Linked DNA regions of Canis lupus familiaris. The protein of the gene in region 4 interacts with the protein of the main gene of each other region in a biochemical or structural test. Links are inferred from orthologs where the notes say so. Each region holds a gene or a part of one and is shown on either strand. Other genes may lie near its edges. The genes, in order: EVL, RAD54B, RAD52, RAD51, FBH1 and RPA1.

What was found.
Region 1: the proteins of RAD51 (region 4) and EVL form a complex in vitro, tested with the Homo sapiens proteins (2 studies listed by BioGRID and IntAct). The link is inferred for Canis lupus familiaris from reciprocal best matches to the Homo sapiens genes RAD51 and EVL.
Region 2: the proteins of RAD51 (region 4) and RAD54B form a complex in vitro, tested with the Homo sapiens proteins (2 studies listed by BioGRID). The link is inferred for Canis lupus familiaris from reciprocal best matches to the Homo sapiens genes RAD51 and RAD54B.
Region 3: the proteins of RAD51 (region 4) and RAD52 form a complex in vitro, tested with the Homo sapiens proteins (6 studies listed by BioGRID). The link is inferred for Canis lupus familiaris from reciprocal best matches to the Homo sapiens genes RAD51 and RAD52.
Region 5: the proteins of RAD51 (region 4) and FBH1 form a complex in vitro, tested with the Homo sapiens proteins (2 studies listed by BioGRID, with this or other methods). The link is inferred for Canis lupus familiaris from reciprocal best matches to the Homo sapiens genes RAD51 and FBH1.
Region 6: the proteins of RAD51 (region 4) and RPA1 form a complex in vitro, tested with the Homo sapiens proteins (2 studies listed by BioGRID). The link is inferred for Canis lupus familiaris from reciprocal best matches to the Homo sapiens genes RAD51 and RPA1.

Annotation. Positions count from the first base shown.
Region 1 is NC_049229.1:68,864,021-68,867,520, reverse strand, and holds part of EVL (ena/VASP-like protein), read right to left. Parts: intron 1,946-3,500; coding exon 1,879-1,945; intron 1,788-1,878; coding exon 1,725-1,787; intron 1-1,724. UniProt on the Homo sapiens protein: Ena/VASP proteins are actin-associated proteins involved in a range of processes dependent on cytoskeleton remodeling and cell polarity such as axon guidance and lamellipodial and filopodial dynamics in migrating cells.
Region 2 is NC_049250.1:39,795,963-39,799,462, reverse strand, and holds part of RAD54B (DNA repair and recombination protein RAD54B), read left to right. Parts: intron 1-396; coding exon 397-594; intron 595-2,374; coding exon 2,375-2,656; intron 2,657-3,500. UniProt on the Homo sapiens protein: Involved in DNA repair and mitotic recombination. May play an active role in recombination processes in concert with other members of the RAD52 epistasis group.
Region 3 is NC_049248.1:3,104,268-3,107,767, reverse strand, and holds part of RAD52 (DNA repair protein RAD52 homolog), read right to left. Parts: intron 2,115-3,500; 5' UTR 2,097-2,114; coding exon 2,013-2,096; intron 916-2,012; coding exon 814-915; intron 183-813; coding exon 89-182; intron 1-88. UniProt on the Homo sapiens protein: Involved in double-stranded break repair. Plays a central role in genetic recombination and DNA repair by promoting the annealing of complementary single-stranded DNA and by stimulation of the RAD51 recombinase.
Region 4 is NC_049251.1:8,127,047-8,131,050, forward strand, and holds the start of RAD51 (DNA repair protein RAD51 homolog 1), read left to right. Parts: upstream 1-1,204; 5' UTR 1,205-1,461; intron 1,462-4,004.
Region 5 is NC_049223.1:29,097,280-29,100,779, forward strand, and holds part of FBH1 (F-box DNA helicase 1), read right to left. Parts: coding exon 3,461-3,500; intron 1,583-3,460; coding exon 1,483-1,582; intron 1,389-1,482; coding exon 1,267-1,388; intron 1-1,266. UniProt on the Homo sapiens protein: 3'-5' DNA helicase and substrate-recognition component of the SCF(FBH1) E3 ubiquitin ligase complex that plays a key role in response to stalled/damaged replication forks.
Region 6 is NC_049230.1:45,977,608-45,981,398, reverse strand, and holds the end of RPA1 (replication protein A 70 kDa DNA-binding subunit), read right to left. Parts: intron 3,049-3,791; coding exon 2,962-3,048; intron 1,519-2,961; coding exon 1,414-1,518; 3' UTR 501-1,413; downstream 1-500. UniProt on the Homo sapiens protein: As part of the heterotrimeric replication protein A complex (RPA/RP-A), binds and stabilizes single-stranded DNA intermediates that form during DNA replication or upon DNA stress.

The DNA.
Region 1 (3,500 bases), on a different chromosome or scaffold from region 4:
CTCTCTCTCAATAAATTAAACCTTAAGAAAAAAAAAAAAAAGAAATCCAAGAAGAACATGCTCCTGCTCCTCTCCTGGCTGAACTGAAGAGAGGCCAGTGTGGTTCTGAAGGACACTAAATAGCTTTGGATCCTGGTGGGGAAGGAGGTGCAGCCTGAGACCCCCGGCCCACATGTCCGTCTGTGGGGTCGGGGCCTGTTCCAGCAGCCATTTCTGGGGCCACCTGGACAAACTGTTTCACCTGTCGGGGCTCTGGTTCTCCCACATGCACACCTGACAGCTCCCCCGGGGTCACCCGAGGCAGACTGTGGCCGCCTGCCCCCTTCGGAGCCCTCCGTGGAACTGGAGAGCACACTGGTCTCAGAGGTGGAGAGCCCCATCCCAAGTGGGAACACTTGGCAGCCCACCATGCTCCACCTGCAGGAAGTGCTGGGGGGCCACAAGCGCACCCCTGGCCACCTCACCTCCTCCCTCCTCCCGGGGGCCCCTCCTTTGGCTCCGGCCCCCTCACAGCCAGAGAGAGTGCTGGTCCACCACGGTGAGCACATACAGAATGCAGCCCAGCCCTCCAGCCACGTGACCCCTGCCGGCCCCTCCCCACCTGCTGCCACCTGCTAGCCACGCTGGCCAGCTTCCTGTTCTGTGAACTGCCGGGTTGGTCACAGGGCCTCAGCACTTACCATCTCCAGCTCGGAAGACTGTCCCCACGCTCTTTGTAGGGCAGGCTCCTCCTCATGCAGGTCAACTCAAATGCCACCTCTGAGAGGCCTGTCCCAGCCCCTGTGCTAGAGCACCTCGGTCCCCAGCATGGTCTGCCATGCGACCCTCTGTGTTCCACACAGCACCTCTCAAACACACGGCCGCCTCGTGCATGGGCCTTCCCAACAGAAAATGGGCTCCTTGCAGCAGGGACCTGCAGGACCCAGCTCAGAACCTGGCTGACCCGAGACCTCACTCCTGAGGGCCGTGTCTGTCCTCAGCGCTCCGGCCGGAGCCGGGCCCGGGCCCTCCCCGACAGGCTCGCTCCACTCTGCACGGCCGGCTCCGATGCTACTGCTCTGAGAGCGGCTCCCCTGCAGTCTGTGCCGGGCAGTGGCGACCCTTCCTAGTACGGGTTCCAGAGACCTGCAGCTTTGGGCTGCGCTCGGCTCCGGTGACTATGGGGCCTCTCACTTTTGGGGACACCTCAGCTTTGAACATTCCATCCTGCTATGCACACCAGCTTTTGGTCTGGGAAATATGGTCTCCCTGGGGGAAGACGGCTGTGTGCTGTGGGCAGAGGAGGGAGGGGAAGGAGGAAGGGTGCCGGCCGGTCCCGGGATCAGTTGAGCTGTGGGACTGTGTCCAGCTGCTGCCCACTAATCGCTGTCACAAGACGCAGGGCTCACAGACCTCTTTACGGGATCGAGGAGGGGAGGCCGGGAGGGGCCACCGGCTTGCCCGATGTCACAGTGAGCCCGGAGCACTGTCATGGGAGTCCGATGTCAGCCTCGCCTCACTGCCCTCCCCAGGCCCCAGTCTCTCCCTCTGGGAGGGGACAGCCAGAGTAGGCGTGCACAGCCCCTCACATCTGCGTCCCTCCAGCCCTGCCTTCCCCAGGTCTGAGGGAACAGGCCCACCCTTTCCCAGAGCAAACTGTTAGGTGACAGGACAGGGGGCGGGTTTGGGAGTGTTAGTCACGGGCAGGGGACAGAGGAGGCCCCCGAGACGGGGATGTTCGGTACCTAGAGTGAGGCTGCGCCTGAAGGGGGCTCTTAGCTTCGGGGCTCTTGGCCACAGACGGGGTTCTACGGCACGGAATGAAACAGACATGTGAATTGGCCCGCCGCCCGCCGTGGCCCCGCCGGACTCGCAGTGCCGCCTCGTGGGGCAGCTCACCTGGACAGCAGCGAGGACACAGGCTTCTCCACCGAGTTGCTCCGCTCCCAGGGCTTCCGGCCAGTCTCTGTCAATTCATACCGTGGACAGGGAGCCTCAGAGCTGGGAGACCTCTCGGTGGCCACGTTCCCCCCACAATCCCAGGCAGGAGGCCCCCCAGTGCTGAGGGTGAAGGGCTACCCCATCAGGAAGGGCTGCTGCAGGTGGAGCTGAAACCTGGCCCCTCGTTCCCAGTCTCCCCACTCAGGACACAGCTCCCATTCCCTCGACCTGGTTGACCTTGACTTGTGGCCTGGTTCTGAGTCCTCTCACCACAGCTGGGTTTCATCTTGATGGGGGAGCCTCTCAATCATGACTCCCAGAGTCGAGTCATGACTCCAGCAAAGGGCTGGGGGGGTACAGAGGGAGCCCTAGCCGGGATGCTCTCAGGTCAGCCTGAGCGCCACGTATACACCTGCTGCCCAGACGTGCCCACCATGTCTCCCCTGCACCCTGCAGCCGGCCCCTTCCTGCCCCGGCCCTCAAAGCTACTTTCTTTTTCCATTTTCTCTTTTAAGTGGTGTTAAATTAATGTTTCATTTTACTTCAAGAGATTTTTGGACTGAATTGAATTCCTAGACTTTGCAGGATGAGCGTAGAGGCAGGAGAAAATCCCTAGAGGAAGCAGGGAAGCCACCCAATGGGTGTGAGGAGAGTGTCCCCAAAGCCACACTCCAGGGCAGATGCTGGGCCCACAGGCATAGGGCCTTGGGCAAATCATGTCACCTCCTAACCTGGGAAACAGAACCATTCACTGGGGTGTGCAGTGTTCATGGAGTCATTCACCAAGAATCCATGGTGGCAGCTCTCAGGAGAAGAGGACACAGGGGCAGTCTCACGGGGCAGGCAGGCAGCCACACCAGCAGAGTGGCAGGACCAGAGGCTGGTGCAACAACTGGCCAGAGCCTCCCTCTGCTGAGGGGGGCTAGCGGGGTTCCCCTCTGCCTCTCCTACCTTGTTCGGGAGCACAGGCCCTGTGTGGAGCAGATGCTGAACAAATGTTTGTTGAACGACTGACCAAGCACAGTGGCTTCTTCCCACCCTGCAGCCTCCAGGAACTGTCCTAACTCCATCCCTGTACCCTGGGGCTCACATTCTGGGGCTCACACGGGGCTTCTGAGCAGGGCTGGGACTGTTTTTCCTCTAACGCATAACTTTGGAAGCATCGCCTGGTAGACTTTCTTTGAGCACCACAATGAGCAAGACTCACGGGTGATCCCTGTTATACGTGCCACAGGTGGCGTTTCACAGGGAGACAGGAGTGTGGCAGGTCCGTAATCCTCCTCAGAGCCCTGGCCTGAGGCCAGGAACCTGAACCCCAGATGCAATGCCCTCCTTGTCTCCGTGTGGGAAATGAGAGGGCTGGGTGGGGGGTTATGGTCTGGCCAGCCTGATGCCCTTGGGCTGTCGGCACAGGTGGCCACGTCAGCATCTACTCTGGATCAGTGTGGAGGCTCAGGGCTTTCGGGTGTCAGGGAGACCAGCTAATGCCACCTCACTGGCCCTCACTGCTCATCTGTACAGTGAGGCGGTTGGGTTGAGTCATCTTCCTGGAGGGGGCCCCTCCTGCTCTAAGACCTTGT
Region 2 (3,500 bases), on a different chromosome or scaffold from region 4:
AACACATTCAGGACATTTACATTCGCCTACAATTGGGCAAAATCATCTAACACCCTATTTTATAATAAAGTGTTGACTGTGTCATGTAATTTATTGAATAGTGAGAGTGAAAAACAGAATGGTTGTATGGGTACAGAGTGGTTGTGAGTGTATCAATTGCTTACCCTCATGATTTCATGGTAGACAGGGTAGACAGGCATTAATGCTAGCTAGACCTGACATTTGAATTTCTCAGTTCATAAAATACTAACAGGAGTATGATCAAATACTCTTTAATACTTACTAGTACCACTTGATTTTCTTGTGCATTTACTTTTGTTCAAATGACACTACTCCTTAAAGTCATCTCTAATAATGTGGTTTTTATTTTTATTTTATTTTATTTTTTTATTGTAGTTCACCCAGCCCCTAAAGAAATAACAGTGTCTAAGGGACAAGAAGAGGAAGAACCTGATAGCCTAGTTAAATATTTCAGTGTTGTTTGGTGTAAAGCTTCGAAGAAAAAACACAAAAAGTGGGAAGGTGATGCTGTTCTCATTGTAAAAGGAAAGTCATTTACATTAAAGGATTTGGAAGGCAAAGACATTGGAAGAGGTATTGTGATATTATGTAATGTTTATGATTTGGACTACTATTAGTATATATCTGAGGTTATGTAATTAAAATGTGGGATTTTATAAGGGTTAGATTAGGATGCTCTTTAATTGACTTGCATGTCAATTAAAATTATCTCATGATAATCTGACAGTCTATGTACACTAGCTCAGTTAAGGAAATCCCATCTCATGGATTCATTTTCTCCAAAATGAAATAGTTATCTGCAGTCATTTATATATATTTTTGAGATTAAGCAGTTTGTCTTACTGTACTTCTACTCCCCCCTCCCCCTTGCTAAATGATTAAAGTCAGAAAAATGTTGATATCAGGTGTGGAATATTATCTAATTTCAATGATACCCAACAAAATTTTGAAAAAAAAAAAAAGGGAAATGGCTAGGCATGATCCAGATTAATACATCTAAATTTGAGGTTATCGTTATTTCTATTTTAACATGTTACCAGGATGATTGTACTAATACAAGTTAGCTCACAAATTCAGAATGCTTAACACCAACCATGTTTTTTGGCATTGTCTCTTATTGTTCAATTTGAATATGGCCCATTACTATAAAATCTGTTCTATACATTCATTCATTTAATAATATCATACTTTATAGTTTTTAGTAACTGTTAAGTGCCAAGCATTACGCTAGGAGTAAACATTCAAAAAATGTATATAAATTATGGTTTAGTGGGGGATAGGGCAATGTAATTGATAATTAGGAAGCAATAAAATAATTGTTTCATTGAGAATTTTACTCCATGCAGTAGGAGATAGAAGGACCATTTAGATCTGCCTAGGAGGCTGGGGAAAGCTTCATAGGAATTATTGTTTAAGGTAGTGTTTGAAAAATAAATAGTTCTATAGGGTATGAGAAAGGGACATACATAGGAGGGAATAGTATATACAAAGGCACAAAAGTGGGAAAGAGTTAAAATTACTAGTTCAGTGTTTCAGGAGTGTAGTATGTGAAGGTCAGTGCCAGAGTGATGAGTTGAGGCTGAACTGAATGATCTGCAACTGAATTTTCTTTTAAAGATTTTATTTATTTATTCATGAGAGACAGAGAGAGGCAGAGACACAGGCAGAGGGAGAAGTGGGCTCCCTGCGGGGATCCCGATGGGGGACTTGACTAGATCCTGGGACCCTGGGGTTATGACCTGAGCTGAAGGCACACGCTCAACCACTGAGCCACCCAGATGCCCCTTAATTTTGTTATAAAAATATTGAGGGGCGCCTGGGTGGCTCAGTTGGTTAAGCCTCCAGCTTTTGGTTTTGGCTCAGGTCACAACCTTAGTGTGGGATTGAGCCCCGCATCAGGCGCACTGGGCAAGCCTGCTTTAAGATTCTCTGTCTCCCTCTGCCCCTTCCCACCTTCCTCCCTCTCTCTCTCTCTCTCTCTCTCTCTCTCTCTCTCTCTCTCTCCCTCTCTCTCTCTCTCGCTTTCTCTCAAAAAAAAAAAAAAAAGTTGCATGCTCTACCAACTGATCAAGCTAGCACTCCTAGCTATATTTTCAATAATTAAAAAAGGTCTTGCTTTCTCTAAAGCTTGGCTAATTTTCATAGCTTTATTATTTATTACTTCTGATTTTTCTGTGTTTTTTAAACAAAATGATAAATTATGTTTTCATCCTGGGTAATGGGTTATACAAGGCTATTTGCCTTCAAAGCACAGTTTTCATTCTGTGGGGTTATAGGAAGGTGACTGTCGTATCACTAAGTTATCTTAGAGTGTCAGTAAATTAAATTCACATTCTCTCTTCTCATTTTAAAGGCATGGCATATAAATTGAAAGAGCTTGAAAAGATTGAAGAGGGCCACAGAGTGATGATTGGTGGAAAAGAAGTAGAAATCATGGGTATAATTTCTCCGGATGATTTCAGCAGTGGCCGATGTTTTCAGCTTGGAATAGGAAGTCCTGCTATCTCAAGTTCTTCTCAAGCTGCCAAGAAGTGTTTCTCTAACCCCTTCAAAAGTGTTTGTAAACCAAGTTCAAAGGAAAATAGATTGGGTGGTTTCCAAGATTGTAAACCACGCCATGACCCACATGCACCAAGTAAGATGTAAAACATAATTTGAATATTCTGTTTTTACTGTCAAAACATATTTGGCCTGTGAATTTAAAGTTTAAGATTTGTTTAAAGTTTTCAGATGAAAGTATGTATTATTCTTCAGGCATACAACTGACATAAGGAATAATGTTGAAGTTGTATAATATAGTTGGGGAATCATTTCATAAATAAATGTATAATTCTAAGAATATAGTAATAATGTCACATTTGTATTAAAGGAAAAATATACCAATTAGAGATTGTATACACACAAACATACATGTATAAGATTTTGAATAATATCTGACATCTTAGCAAGCAGAAATATTAATTCATGAGTCAAGATTATGTTTATATTTCTCTTTTGACAACTGTATGTCTTGATCACATGCATTAGTGTATTAAAATGTTGAATGGTGATACTTTTTTTTTTTTAAAGATTTATTTATTTTCAGGTAAAGAATTTAAATTATACCCATGAGAATCCAATTTAATGAGTTAATTTTTTTTAAAGATTTATTTATTTTCAAGGTAAAGAATTTAAATTAAACCCATGAGAATTCAATTTAATGAGTTAATTTTCACATTAATGAATCTAATTTAAAAAATCACATTAAAAAATAACACCTCTCCTGTTTTTTTTTTTTTTTTTTTCGATTTGATTTGTTTGCCTGACAGGGATTTCTTCAATGCCTTTTTTTGCATTGAGGGCAGAGGTAAACTGTCATCAGAGATCTTATTTGGTGAGGAGGCAGACAAGTAAATTTGAATTATAAGGCAGTAGATATCAAAGTGGGTGGGGTATAGTGTAGGCTGCTTTCAGATTAGTAAAATAAAAAGTACATAGAG
Region 3 (3,500 bases), on a different chromosome or scaffold from region 4:
ACATCCTCACCCACAAAATACTCTCATCAGAAATTAGTATAAAAGTAAGGGAAATGAAGAAGTCACCATTGCCAGGAAATATACTTACCCACATTCTGCTGTGTGATAGAGTGTGCCCAGCCATTATAACCAAACATTTCATTGGCCAAATTAATTACCCTGTGACCCTCGATGTAACATACCTGGAACAAGAAAGTTAAGGGGAAGAAAAAAAAAAAAAGCTTGTTAAAATTCCTTGCCATATTTAAATAAGAATCAAAATTCACTTAATTTATTCCTTACCAGTTTTTTGTTTTTGTTTTGTTTTTTGGGTTTTTTTGTTTTGTTTTGTTTTTTTGGCAAAACTGCCCTTTAACATTCCAGGGAAATTCTCAGTGAACTTATTTCAAAGATCTTCCAGAAGGAACCAGTTAGAACTAATGTTTGTCTCAGGGGAGGGACTAGACTCAGAGGGGAAAGATATCCACTCACTTAGCAGTTTCCAAAAAAGTACAAGTCTCAGGTTGATATACATTACAGAAGACCAAAAATATACACAGAAGTTAAATTTAGAAGCAAAAGGCAAAAGAAACATTTTTAAAAGATGGTATAAAAATCCCAAGAAGGCAGGCATGGAAGTCTCAAGACAAGACTTGGGTCACTTCAAATGACAATGCTGGCTGGAACCCATCCTCTCCCAAAGACACGAGGGAACATCTAGCAACAGTGAGCAAGAGACCTGAATCCATGAGGACCCAGAGAGGGAGCTGTTGAGATCATCTGAGTAGCCAGCTATTAGGAGCACCCACTTTTCAAGCATATCAATTCTCCTACCCTCTGGCCTCCTCCAGACATGCGGCTACTGATGTATTCTGGGCCCAGCCTCTGCCTCAGAGCATTCTGGATGGCCTGGTACTCTTCTGCTGTGTACTGATACTGCAATTCAGAAAGGAAAAATTAAATTGACATTTCTCCCATTCCTACATCAGCAAATCTCCAATTTTTTGGTCTCCAGACCCTTTTACACTCTCAAAAAGTATTGAGGACCCTAAGAGCTTTTGTTTATGTGGGTTATAACTACCAATGTTAGGAATTGAAACTGAGAAACCTTTAAGGCACACCTTCTTCCATCAGCCATCCTAGCAGTATCACAACAGGCTGCGCATGGCCTGGCAAGTCCCATTCTTCACTCGTGTGAAAAGGAAAAGGAAAAGGCAAGAAGTACTTTAGTATTATTATGGAACTCTTCTTGACCTCATGGACTCAGAAAAGGTCTTGGGGACTCCCAGGGGTCACAGGGCCACATGTAGACAGGCATCGCCTTAGGTGTCACTACCATCCTTACAAAACTTCCTCAAGCCACAACTGGTAAACTGAAACTTCCTGCTTCAGAGTCTGTGTGTGACATTTATGCCTGCGAGGGAGTAGGGGAGACCCACCGTCCTCTCCAAAGTTGTATACCTCTTCTCTGCTTCAACAATTTCCCACCCTGTATATGTAGCTAAATATACTGCTACTAGTTTTGATTTTTGTCCCCTTAGTAATTTTTTCCTTCCCTATTTAAATGAAATAAATCTACATCAACAGATCTCTGGTAAAGACAGAATTTGAGTGGACAAAGCAAGAATCTCTTTGATAAGCACAGACTATCTCCACAAAGAATATGACATGGGAATCTTTGGATGCCTCCAATAAAACGAACTGGGTGAAATGTGAACAGGAGTGATGGGGAAATAAATGAGATTTTTCATTCACAGTCTACGTTTCATTTTGAGTGTTATACCATATGAATATGTAATCTAGCCAAAAAAATAAACAAAATATAAATCTAAATGTAATCTCCAGTACTATTTGTCTTTTGATGTCAAAGTTCCAAAATGGCCTGAGAGTTCATCAGACTCACAAAATACTGCACCTAACAGGAAAACCACTGACAATAAATAGCTTCTACATCTATGACAATGCTCTACAAATTACATTCTCCTACCTTTTCACTTAACCTCATTCTTTCCAGGTATGATAAACACAGTTACCTGTCCAAAGCATAATACAGAGTTGCCACCAGCAGAAGGATGGCTGCCACGGCCTCCAAGAACTGCTTCCTCAGCCCCAAACATGTTGATTTTGAGTAACCTCTAATAAAAACAGAAGATTAAAAAAGATCTCAAAGAATGGTAAAGGTAAAAAACAAGAACCTCCACTTAAAATCAGATTAAAGCATCCATATGCAGTATTCTACAAGTTTTTTATTTACTTAACGCTTTATTTATAAGCACTGCCCCAATCAGACTAAGTTCCTCAGTGCTTAGCAATCACTGAAGATCCTTTAGAATCCACTTCCATCTTTGTTAAAATTTTTCTAGAGTTGGGGCACCTGGCTGGCTGAGTCAGTAGAGCATGGGAAGCCTGATCTCAGGGTCATGAGTTCAAGCCTCATGCTGGGTATATAGCCTTCTTAAATACACAATAAAAATTTTGCTAGGGCAATTGTATTGTAAGGGCAATTGTAAAGGTGATTTTTATAATCAGAATGTATAACTGTAATGTTTATAATTGGAAAAGTCAAAATTACAAAACACACCAAGGGAGAGTAACCAACCAACTGATTACTCCCTATCATATGAGCAACATGACCTTGGCCTCAGTGAGGTCATAAAAGAAGTATAAGCCAGGGGCACCTGGGTGGCTCAGTCAGTGAAGTGTCTGTCTTTAGCTCAGGTCATGATCTCAGGATGCTAGGATAGAGTCCCCTGGCTGGCTCCCTGCTCAATACAGAGTCTGCTTCTCCCTCTCCTTCTACCCCTCCCCCCAATTCATGCTCACTCATGCTCTCTCTCTCAAATAAATAAAATATACATAAACAACAAAAAAACTAAAAGCCACAATAACTGATCTGCTTTCCAGGACCTAACAAGCTAGCTGGTAGAAGACTCATAGACAGGAAAATTAAAGAGCAAGAGAAGGGGCACCTGGGTGGCTTAGTTGGTTTAGCATCTGCCTTCAGGTCATGATCCTAAGGTCCTGGGATCAAGTCCCACATCAGCCCCTGGAGAGGCTCCCCTTTAGCAAGGAGTCTGCTTCTCCCTCTCCCTCTGCTTCTCCCTTTCCCCCTTATGCTGTCTCTCTCTCAAATAAATAAATAAAATCTTTAAAAAAAATAAAAAGCAAGAGAAGGCAATACGGTGACCCTAACATTCAGGAATAAAGCATTAGACCAGTGAGGTCTCTTGCAGCATCAGCATCACCTGGGAGCTTATTAGAAATGCAAATCCTCAGGACCCCTGGGTGGCTCAGTGGTTGAGTGTCTGCCTTTGCCTCAGGGTGTGATCCCAGAGTCCCAGGATCAAGTCCCACATTAGGCTCCTTGCATGACGATTGCTCCTCTCTCTGCCTGTCTCTTATGAATAAATAAATAAAATCTTAAAAAAAAAAAAAAAACAGAAATGCAAATCCTCAAGTCCTACCCTAGACCTTGTGGACCTCAGAAACTAGAGGTGAGCTCCAGAAGTCAATGGTTGCCC
Region 4 (4,004 bases):
TTTTTTTTAATTTTATTTATGATAAGCACACAGTGAGAGAGAGAGAGGGGCAGAGACATAGACAGAGGGAGAAGCAGGCTCCATACACCGGGAGCCCGATGTGGGATTCGATCCCAGGTCTCCAGGATCGCGCACCTGGGCCAAAGGCAGGCGCCAAACCGCTGCGCCACCCAGGGATCCCCTCAAAAACTTTCAATGAGGAGTGCCTCAGTGGCTCAGCGTGGAGCCCCTGCCTTTGGCTCCGTTCATGATCTGAGGGTCTGGGATGAGTCCCACATTGGGCTCCCCAGGGAGCCTGCTTCTTCCTCTGCTTCTCCCTCTGCCTCTATGGGTGTCTCTCATGAATAAACAAAATCTTTAAAAAAAAATAAGATTTTTAATGATTTCCTCATTACTTAAAGAATAAAGACTGAAGCTCCACACATGGCCTTAAGCTTCTTCATAACCTGAATGAAATGTTAATTTTCCAGTATCAGCGTCTCTAGGACACTTTTCCTCCTTCATCAGACAATTCTATCGCTTGACCACGTTATTTCCATACCCATAGTGCTCTAAGTCTCCCATCTCCGTTTCTTTGCCCAGGAAACCCCATTAACGCTTTAAAACCGGAGTCACACACAGGTCCAACTTCCCAGTAAACAAGGTTTACTTTCTCAAAATCAGTGTCTCCTGCCCTCGGGAGTCTTCCAAATCTCAAGTACCAAGACTTGACTAATATTTCAGCCATTTTTCTCCCCTTCGTTAGCTGTTTCCAGTTCCATCTCAGCTCTACCACCTCCAGGGGCCTGGAAGGAAAACCCCAGGCTCCGGGAATTTGACGAAATCGGAAGCTCAGACTAAACGTCCAGGTTTAGAAACTAAAGAGGCAAATCGAGAGCAGCTCTCTAGAGCCAGACCTTCCCCCAGCAGGGGTGAGGCGCTAAAGTGGTGTGCGACCCTGTGCCTGCTGGGAGATGGAGTCTCCGACCCACCCCACTACCTCTTGGGAGTTGTAGTCCTTGGTCTGGTAAAAGAGAAGGAAGCGGCGACTCCCAAATTGTGAATTAGTTTTTAGGGGTAAAGGGAAGAGGCAAATGCCTCACATGAGGCAAGACCAAGTTCCTTGGACCCAACTAGGGTTCGCGAGCAGCCGCAGAGCGGGCTAGACCTCCGGGCCGAGGGGGCGGGGAGACGTTACGTTGACGCTGGCGTGACCCAGCCGGAGAATTTGGCGGGATCTCCAAACACTCCCCGGAGGGAGCTCTGCGGTTTGAGACCCAGCCTGAGGAGACTGACGCGCCCTTAGGGGCGTCGTTGGGAGCTGAAGCTCGCTTGGGTTGTGTGCGGAAGGCGGCAAAAAGGGAGTAGAAAATTTGGCAGCAAGGGAGGGAGTCCAGAGCCCGTCCAGAGTCGTGCGCGGACCGGACCCGCGGACAGAAGTCGGAGCGCGCAGCCCGGCAGTGAGGAGCGCTGTGGACCGAGGTGAGCGTGTGAGGCGTAGACTCGGCCCCTCCTGCCTCCCGGTGCGTCCCCGCAGTAGCCGAACCGGGCGGAGCCCGTGCCGCCGGCAGCCGGCTTATGGGCCCCTCTGCGCCAAGTGAGAAACCGGAGTTGGCGGGGCGGAGCAGGGTCATGCCCGGGCCCAACCCACCGTCGGGGCTCGTTGTGGCAAAAACTGAAGTGGTCCCCAGGCTCCAGAGCTAGAAGGAACCTCAGAGGCCTTCATTTTCAACACCCGGTTTGGGGGTGGGGGGGTGGGGGCGGCGGGAAAGCCGAGATCCAGAGAGGTGTTGTGATTTAACGTCACAGCTGTTTCTGTCGGGGCCAGGGTTTCCGGATTTCTGGTTAATCCTCTTTCCATTACACCCTGCTTTGCTTACGGAGTACCAGCTTCCAATTTCCTAAAAGGCGTTTTCATTAGCTAATTCAGGCCGTTCGTGTGATGATGCCTGGGGAATGATCTGTAGTGAAGTGGTTTCTTTTGACTGCTAAAGTGAAGTGTAATATGCGTATGGAAGAATATACAAATCAGAAGTGTATAGTATACGCCTCTGATTTCAAAAAGAATATACCTGTGCAGTCATTACTCAGGTCAATAAATAGAACGTTGTCAGCACCCCAACATCCCCTGTTCTCTCCAAAGGTAACCTCTGTATTGACTTCTGACACCAAAGACTAAATTTGCCTGTGTTTGAGTTTTGTGTAACTGATATTATCTATCTTTAAAAGGTTTTGTTTATTCATTTATTTATGAGAGACGCAGAGGGAGAAGCAGGCTCTTCAGGGAGCCTGCTGCGAGACTCGATCCCAGAAGCTCGGGATCATGACCTGAGCGACAGCAGATGCTCAACCGCTGAGCCACCCAGTTTCCCCATATTATGTATATTTTTGTGTTTGGTTTTGCTCAACATTCTGTCTGTAGATTCGTACTTATTTTTGCATATAGTAATAGTTCTTTTTAGTTTCTGTATTGAATTCCTTATTCATTCTGCCCATGCCCATGGTGGACATTTGGGTTGTTTCTAGTTTCTGAGTTTTTAAATGAGAAAATCTGCAGAGAACATTCCTGCGTATGTTTTGGTACAAACGTGTATGGTTTTCAGTTGGTTAGTAATACAGCGTTGAAATTCCTGGGTCATAGCATTTGTCTATATTCAACTTCCACATTTAATGCCAGTTTTCTTTTTTTAAAGATTTTATTTATTTATTCATGAAAGAGAGTGAAGGGCAGAGACACAGGCAGAGGGAGAAGCAGGCTCCATGCAGGAAGCCCGGTGTGGCATTGGATCCCGACACTCCGCATCCATGCCCTGGGCCAAAGACAGGTGCTAAACCGCTGAGCCACCCAGGCATCCCTACTGCCAGTTTTCTGCTACCAATTTACATTTACACCAGCAGTGTATGAGTGTTTAGTTTTTTCACATGCTTGCCAACACTTGATATTGTCAATCTTTTAAAATTTTATCTGTTTTGGTGGCATATAGTAATACTTCGTGGTTTTAATTTTGATTTTCCTGATAATTAGTCAGGTTGAGCATTGGTTCATCGTTTTTGGCCCATTTGGACATCTTCTATCCTGAAGTACTTGTTCCAATCTCTTGTCTGTTTTTCTATTGAGTTGCCTTTCTCCCTTCCCTTCCCTCTTTCCTTCCCTCTTTCCTTCCCTCTCTCCTTCCCTCTCTCCTTTCCTCTCCTTTCCTTTCCTTTTTTTAAGATTTTATTTATTCATTCATGAGAGAGAGGGAGAGGGAGAAGCAGAAGCAGGCTCCATGCAGGGAGTCCGATGTGGGACTCGATCCTGGGACTGCGGGATCACACCCTGAGCCAAAGGCAGATGCTCAACCGCTGAGCCATCCAAGTGTCCCTATTGGGTTGCCTTTCTTGCTGATTTGAAGTTCTTTATATATTTTAATTATCAGCCCTTAGTTGTATATATGGTAAATATTTTGTCTCCCACCTGTAGTTTGACTTCATTTTCTTAATAGTGTCTTTTGATGGATAGAAGTTTTAAGTTTAAATGTCCGATTTTTCAGTCTTTTTTTTCGTTGTTGCTTTAAGAAAGTTTTATCCCAAAGTCATGAAAACATTCACCTATATTCCAAAAGCTTTGTTTTACCTCTTATATTTAGATCTGTAATCGAATTGGAAACAGATGTTTCTTCTGTATGTGCAGTGTTTTATTTTGTTTTTGTTCTTTTTCTTATTCTGTAAGGCTCTCCCATCAACCTAGCACTTTTTATTGAAAAAAAAAATCCTTTTTCCATTCTCTGTAATTCCATCTTCTTCATAAATTATGAAGGGAGGTGTTTAAATTTTTTTTTTTTTTTAAGATTTTATTTATTCTGGGCAGCCCTGGTGGCTCAGCGGTTTAGTGCCACCTTCAGCCCAGGGCTTGATCCTGTAGACCCTGGATCGAGTCCCACGTCGGGCTGCTTGCATGGAGCCTGCTTCTCCCTCTGCCTGTGTCTCTGCTTCTCTCTCTCTCTCATTCTCTCATTAAAAAAAAAAAAAAAATCTTAAAAAAA
Region 5 (3,500 bases), on a different chromosome or scaffold from region 4:
TATCACAGCATAGCCCCTTCTACCTAAAAGCACATGCCAAGCACTGTCCAGGACCCCCGCGCAGAAGAAACCCGTGACTGAGGCACCACCCTCCAAGGACCTGTCATCATTTGGGGAAGAGACATAAAAACCGCTGACATCAAACAGAGACTGAAATAAGCCAGCACATATCGTAGTTGGAGAGCAGATGTGATCGAGAGTGCTGCCACATGCTTCAGGCGACACGTGGGTGTGACAGAGGGACCACAACCACTTACTGTCTACCATGCCCCACGTGGGCCACACTCCAAGAGTGCTATTTTCTAACAATAACAAAAAATGCTTAAACTACGCTATAACCACTAGATGAAATACTGTAGTCGTTCACGTAGAAACATGAAAGAAAAGATGCTTACATGTGGAGTAAAAAAAAGAACACATTTTTAGGTACATTATAATTCCAATTATGTAGAAATGTGTGTCTATAAAGACACAGACATGAACAGCAAAAGGGAAAATTGTTATCTGAAATACTGAGATTGAGCGTGAGGTTTTTTTTTTCCTTTTAATTTCCAAAGCTTCCATAATTTGGCTGGATAATCTTTATCAATTAAAAAAAAGAGAAAATTCAGAACATCTTTTGATTATGACTCACTGACTGTATATACCGAGTGCCCACACACAGGAAGCCCTCAAAAACACTGTTTTTCATAAACAGAGTGAACATCTCTTAGTCATGTAACTTTGCTTTGAAGAGTCAGAAATGTCACACATGTGTCACTTAATCCTAACTTCCCCGGGAACCAGGTAAAGGCATTAATCTTGTCTCAGAGATGGAGAGAATGAGGCACACCGAAGTGGTGACTTGCCACAAGCCACACAAAGTTAGTGACAGAATCAGATCTAGAACCCAGGTGTCCACACCCTCTACGCTGGAGCCCACTAGCGCCTCCCAGCTGTGTTGGCAGCTCCCTTGTCCTTATACTAATGAACACCACACACCACAACACTCGCAGGTAGCCGGCCGGCAGCCTCATTTGCAGAGCCAAAAATGAGAAGGGTGTCAGTGTTTTAAAGAACAGAGAAAAGGATCCTCAGTCCTTGCTGGTTCCTCATAAGAATGCTAACATATCGGAACAGCTAGGGGGAAAGACCTCAGTCATGGTGCAGATGGTGCCCCAAACCCTAAATGCTTGCTTGTGTAATAATCCTAATGAAGCTGAATGCTTTCATTGGCTGCTGGGTTTGTGTCTGTGCAGGGAGGAGTCGGGAGAGATTTACTCTTACCCCAATCAGATGTATCCTCGCGGGGACTTCTCCTTCCGTCACCCGCACAGCCTCATCAAACACATTGGCATTGGTCCGGGACAACAGGGCCACCTGCCCCTTGGCGTCACCTCTAATGCCACCTGTTGGGAGAGAGCACAAACTCTGTGGCAAATCCAAGTAAAGAGGAAAACTAACTTTTGTAACAAATAAATGAAGAGTAACTGAAGGCCTTACTCTGGTGGTTTCCTCCAACCAAAGTCTTTTTCCTCACTCTCTTGCAGACATCCAAGATGGTAGCTCCCACGTACGCTATTTCCACGCCAAATCTGAAACTCTGTGAGAAAATGACGGAACAAAAGGAGTCAACAAGCCCTCCCTGAAGTAGGTTCGCCTGTTTCTGTCCCCGCAAAGACCCTGCTTGTTGATTCCTGACTCACCCTATCTGGAAAGTGGATTTGCAAATTCCCCACTGTAAACCCGCTCACAAGGAATCGAAGAATCTTGCCAATCAGACCATCGCTGACTTGAGTTCTAAGCTTTCAGAAATTGCAGCTTTCACCCTGAAACCCTCCAGTTACCTCTCTTCTTTTACCCTTTACCCCCACATCCAGATCTGGGCGATCCTCCCACCAGAGGGTCTATGCTCTTTTTCTCACCACTGCTACCATCTCAGCTCAGCAGCCCAAACTCCATGCCTCACCCACTCGGTCTCTCCCGCCCTCTTGCCAGATGACTCTTGCCCACATACTTTCATCAGGCCACACCCTTGCTACAAAAAAGGAAGAGCAGCACGTGAGGAAAACGGCAGTACATGCACTCTGAACATCCCTCACGGCCCGAACAGCCTCTTCTCCTCTCATTCCCCAAGACCAGTGGAAAACTTAGCTTTTAAGCAAATCTACCCTTCCTTCCAAATCAAATCAAATGAGAGTGTCAATTATTCAAAAGATGGAGGGAGGGCAGGAGGGTTTCTCATCTCGCCTCTGAGCCTCCCTCACCGTTAATTTAAAACCACTGCCCCACACGCCAGCCCCAAGTATCGTCACTCTCTGAGCCTTCCCTGGATGCCCCCTGCCTTGGCACATGGCCAGTTGTTCTCTACCCTTCAAAACGTGGCCCCACACCCACGTCCTTGATCACTGCAGCTGGAAAGACACCCTCGTCTCCAATCTCATGGTACTTACAGCCCTTTGCCATGTACTAAGGACTTAAAGTAATAAACTGCTACGCGCTCTGGTGAACATTGACAATACTAAAGAAAACATGAGCCTTTCAACAAATAGCACTTTGTTGCTACAGAACCATTCTGAGGGAGCCATGACCCAAAAAATAAAATGAAATATCCACGAGTCCACACTGATATAAATAAATGATCGAATAAAGAAGTAAGTGGGAGAGAAGACAAAAATCTTCTTTGTAGAAGAATTCTAAATAGTTTACGGGGCTACCCCAGCAGCCTCATGCGGAAAGGTATGGGCAAGGGGAGGGTCGTTACGGCTTTCTCAGACAACCAGGGATGCCACGAGGTGTCACGCATACACGAGTTTTCCAAATTTCTATTTCACTTGAAAGCAAGAATTTTATCTTTGGCAACAAACATTTGTCAGTTGTTTTCCTGGAAGTCACAGCTCACTTCCTTCATTTTTGAGAAAATGCCAAGTACCCAAGTCTGTCAGCTGTTCTCTCGAGTACCAACATTAAATACACACAAAAGCAGCCAGTTGAGCTCACAACTCAATCACAAAAGTGCTCTTCGTCAGACAGCCAACACACTTCCGTCGGCCCCTTATCCCACAGAATACTAGAGACACACCCAAGGGCTAGCAGTTCATCATGTCTGCTGGAACATCGGAATGTTCTGGAGTTGAACCTCTTTTGTTCGTTGTACCCTGAGTGCGCTACAAGAAGAACACTGTGACAGCCGGCACCGTTTGGTGCCACCACCTTGATTCACGGGAAGGCATCAGCGGTGCAAATGTGAACACAGTGACAATGGCACATGCCGTTGTAAAAACAGTTCTGACTTTGCAGACCCCCTGACAACCACAGGGCACCACTGCTTAGAAGCGAGGATCCACTACATGCTGTGTGCCGACTAGACAGCCTTGCACGGCGCCTGGCCCCCACTAACCACAGAAAAACGAGGGTGCGGGGGAGACCACAAAGCTTGCTTCTACAGTTCTGGGGACTCGGAAGCAGAGAGAGCTCTTACCTGTGTGAGATAGAAGACGTGCGTGTGAGGGACTGTAAAC
Region 6 (3,791 bases), on a different chromosome or scaffold from region 4:
TGGATTAAAAACCAGGTCCTCCCACTGCAGGCTGACTGCAACATTGCCTGGATGCTTGGGGAGAGATGTGCAGCAAATGCCAAGTGGTGGGTCGCAGCAACCAGAAAGATAATTAATATGATTAGGAACACACAGGGCAAGCATGCTCTTGCTGACTTAAAAGCCTAGTAGCATAATTACTGTTTTCTTACTAGCTCACTGTCTGTACACATTTCAAAGCCTGGTTGGTGTTAGACTGCTGTGTAAACATCAATAAAATCCCAAAGTGCCAGATCATCAGCATTCTTGGTCACAATGGCTTTTTGTTTTTAGTGTTTTTGTTCTTTTAAAGATGCATTTGAGGGTTGCAAACATTAGGATGAATGATCTCTATGACTTGGACTAATCTTTGAGTCTGTAATGAGTTAACATCTCCCCCAAGTGAACATTTATTATGAAGGCTAATTAATTGCTTCCCAGTTACAAGAACCCTTTGCATTCAAAGAAAGTAGAAAGTAGGATTCACACACAGAGAACATTCTGTTTATTTAAACAAAGCAGAGGAAACAAAGGGCTCCTTCCTTCAAAATCCCTTCTATTTAACATAGCTTCAATCAAGAAATGAAACATATAAATGCAAGAAATATGTACAGGTAGAAAAAAATGTGCATTCACCAGCCAAAATGCAACATTAATTGAAACGAAAACTAAAACAATGCTTTGTAGTTGCCCGGATGTCCCTGTGGGACAGCAAGTCAATGCTTATCAGCCTTCCTCAGACGAGACAATTTTGATTAATATCAGACCCATCTGACTTAGTCTATTAAACCCTGAAGGAGGGATATTCTTCAGATATAAAAGATAAGTTTTTTGATTAATAATTCTACCCTATTGCCATCCAAGTATTTACAACTATGTGGCACCTCTAGAAAGAGCGAAACTTTGAATTCTAGAAAGACACACTTACTGAAGTACAGGTTCTGCACGACCAATTTTGGGCTCTCCCTCCTGAGAAGGAACCCAGGTCTCAAGGGTGTCATCACTGGAGAAGCTAGTTACATAATTTATTTCACCGTCTGCAAAGTTAGGGTCAATTACTTGTGACATAATTTCTGATTGAAGATAATGAAATCTTAGTAAAACTGACAAAAGCCTGAAGACAGAGGGAGAGAATGGCACTACACTATCCACCAGCTGACCTGCCAGGTCTGACAGTTTACCCGACAGTCGCCTGAGCACATTTCTCTTTGCCTGTGTCAACAGGTACCAGTGGGCTCCAAGCTGCACTGATGGGAGGAAAGCGCTTTGTCCCCTGTGGAGAGGCCCTCTGCTCCACTGTGTAGCTAACGTGGAAATGTCCCACAGGAGTGGGAAAGAATCGGTTTCATTTCAGCTCTGTTTTTTCAAACTTCTGCCCCATCAGCTCTGGTCTTCTCACATTAGTGCGTTTCTCCTGATGTTCATGATCAGCCTTCTACCATATTCTCTGTAGTCCACGGGCTTCACGTCCATCACAGTGGCCTTAATTCGAGACTCATCCTTTGAGAAGAGAAAAGCAGTTTGTGAATGGAGGAAAGCCTGTGGCATGGAGCAGTGGTGCTAACCCCCTTTGCTTTAGAGGTTTCAATGATCTCAGCGAGAGAAAACACAAAGACATGCTGGATTTAGTGTTTAGTAATTCCAATACAGAAAAAAATCATGAGTGAAAGCCAAGTTCAGAACTTCTGGAGCTGGGAGAGAGGACAGAAGCCTCTCTTCATTCAGCAGAGTCCCCTTTTTGTCCTTCCCTCATGCTCCCAGGTCTCAGAAACCTCAAATCCAAATGGGATGGGCCTTAGCAGGTTTATTTTCTTTGCAGAGGGGGGAAATAGGAGCCCAGAGAAGATAAGTGACTTGCCTAAAAGCCACACAGCTAATTCTGAAAACAAAAGTAGAGGAGGAAGACTTGGTCTGGGTGCCATCCCAGCTCTGTGGGAGACCACCTCTGCACCTCACCTTCCCTGTCCACATCATGAGAGGACTGCATGACCTTTCGAGCTGTCCCCTGCTCCCACCTCAACATGACACTCTAGCACAGACACTTGACTTGACACTACCTCATTCAAGGTCTACAGAAACAAACAAACCTGGCAGGAACTAAGGTTAAAGTGTAATGATAAAACAGAATGAGGAGACCCTAAAACAAGCAGAGAGGTTTTCAGAACTCTCCCTCTTTGCTCATTCATCAGGACTGAACAGTGCCTTTATTTTAGAGGCAGGATGAGGTGATGCCCAGAAAAAGTGCACAGTCTAATTCAGGGGTTCACGCACTGTCATGTATATGTGCTCAGTAATTACGACAAAGTGCCATTTCTAAGAATGGAAAAGAGCAAATCTCTGAAGCTGGGGGCTGGAATCTTAGTTCTGCCATTTGCTGGCATATGCAAAGTACTTATTCTCTACATGCCTCCATGTTTTCAGTGGTAAAATGGGGCTAACAGTCATTCCTCCATATGGGTTACTGCCAGGATCAAGTGAGATAGTAGATGTAAAGGGCATAGAATAGTAACTGGCAGACAGTAAGTGCTCAATAAATGCAGTTACTGTAGGACTATACAATTATATGATGCTATAGGCAACTTGAATAAGTTTTAAGGTTATTTTAACTTTGTTCGGTCTTTGTTTTGTATATGAACCCTAGGGCCTAAACCTCACAGGAGTCCACCAAACATCTGACCATTCTTTGTCACTACACCAACAAAACCCCCAGGTTGTAACCGAAGAACCATGCAGCATTTCCCTCTAGATGCTTGACACTAAACAAAATACTTGACCTCTCTAGGTTCGTTTCCTCAGTGCTGGGAAGATTCAATGAGTAATAAATGCAGGGCGGTAAGCACACTGTAAGCAATTAAGTGACAGCTAACACTGTACTGTTGCTGTGAGTGACAAATAGTAGCTTCCCACTGCTAACCCTTCTGCAACCCAGCAGACCCCACTTACGTTGTAGGTCTCTAGTTTCACCCTGATCCTGAATGTGAAAGATCGGAAGTTGGCATTCTGGAAAACTTCCTCAAATGCTTGCTCGTTCTGCAAAAACAAATGTAGAACTTTAGGCATGGAAGCTACCAGACCATTTGAAAATATCCACTAAGATTCTTTTTTAAAAAGATTTTTATTGGGATCCCTGGGTGGCGCAGCAGTTTGGCGCCTGCCTTTGGCCCAGGGCGCGATCCTGGGGACCTGGGATCGAATCCCACGTCGGGTTCCCGGTGCATGGAGCCTGCTTTTCCCTCTGCCTGTGTCTCTGCCTCTCTCTCTCTCTGTGTGACTATCACAAATAAATAAAAATTAAATAATAAATAAAACATTTAAAAAAAATAAAAAGATTTTTATTTATTCTGAGAGACAGGCAGAGACATAGGCAGAGGAGAAGAGGCTCCCTGTGGGGAGCCTGATGCGGGATTTGATCCCCCGGACTCCAGCGGACTCCGGGATCATAACCTGAGCCAAAGGCAGATGCTCAACCACTAAGCCACCAAGGTGCCCCCCTCCATTAAGACTTTTGAAGGGGCACCTGGCTGGCTCAGTCAGATCATGCAACACTTTTTCTTTTTAAAAATATATATTTTATTTATTCATGAGAGACACAGAGATAGATGCAGAGACACAGGCAGAGGAAGAAGCAGGCCCCTTGTAGGGAGCCCGATGCAGGACTTGATTCCCAGATCTGGAGATTATGCGGAGCTGAAGGCAGATGCTAAACTGTTGAGCCACCTAGGCATCCCAAGCATGCAACTCTTGATCTCGAGATTGTAGGTTTGAGCCCCATG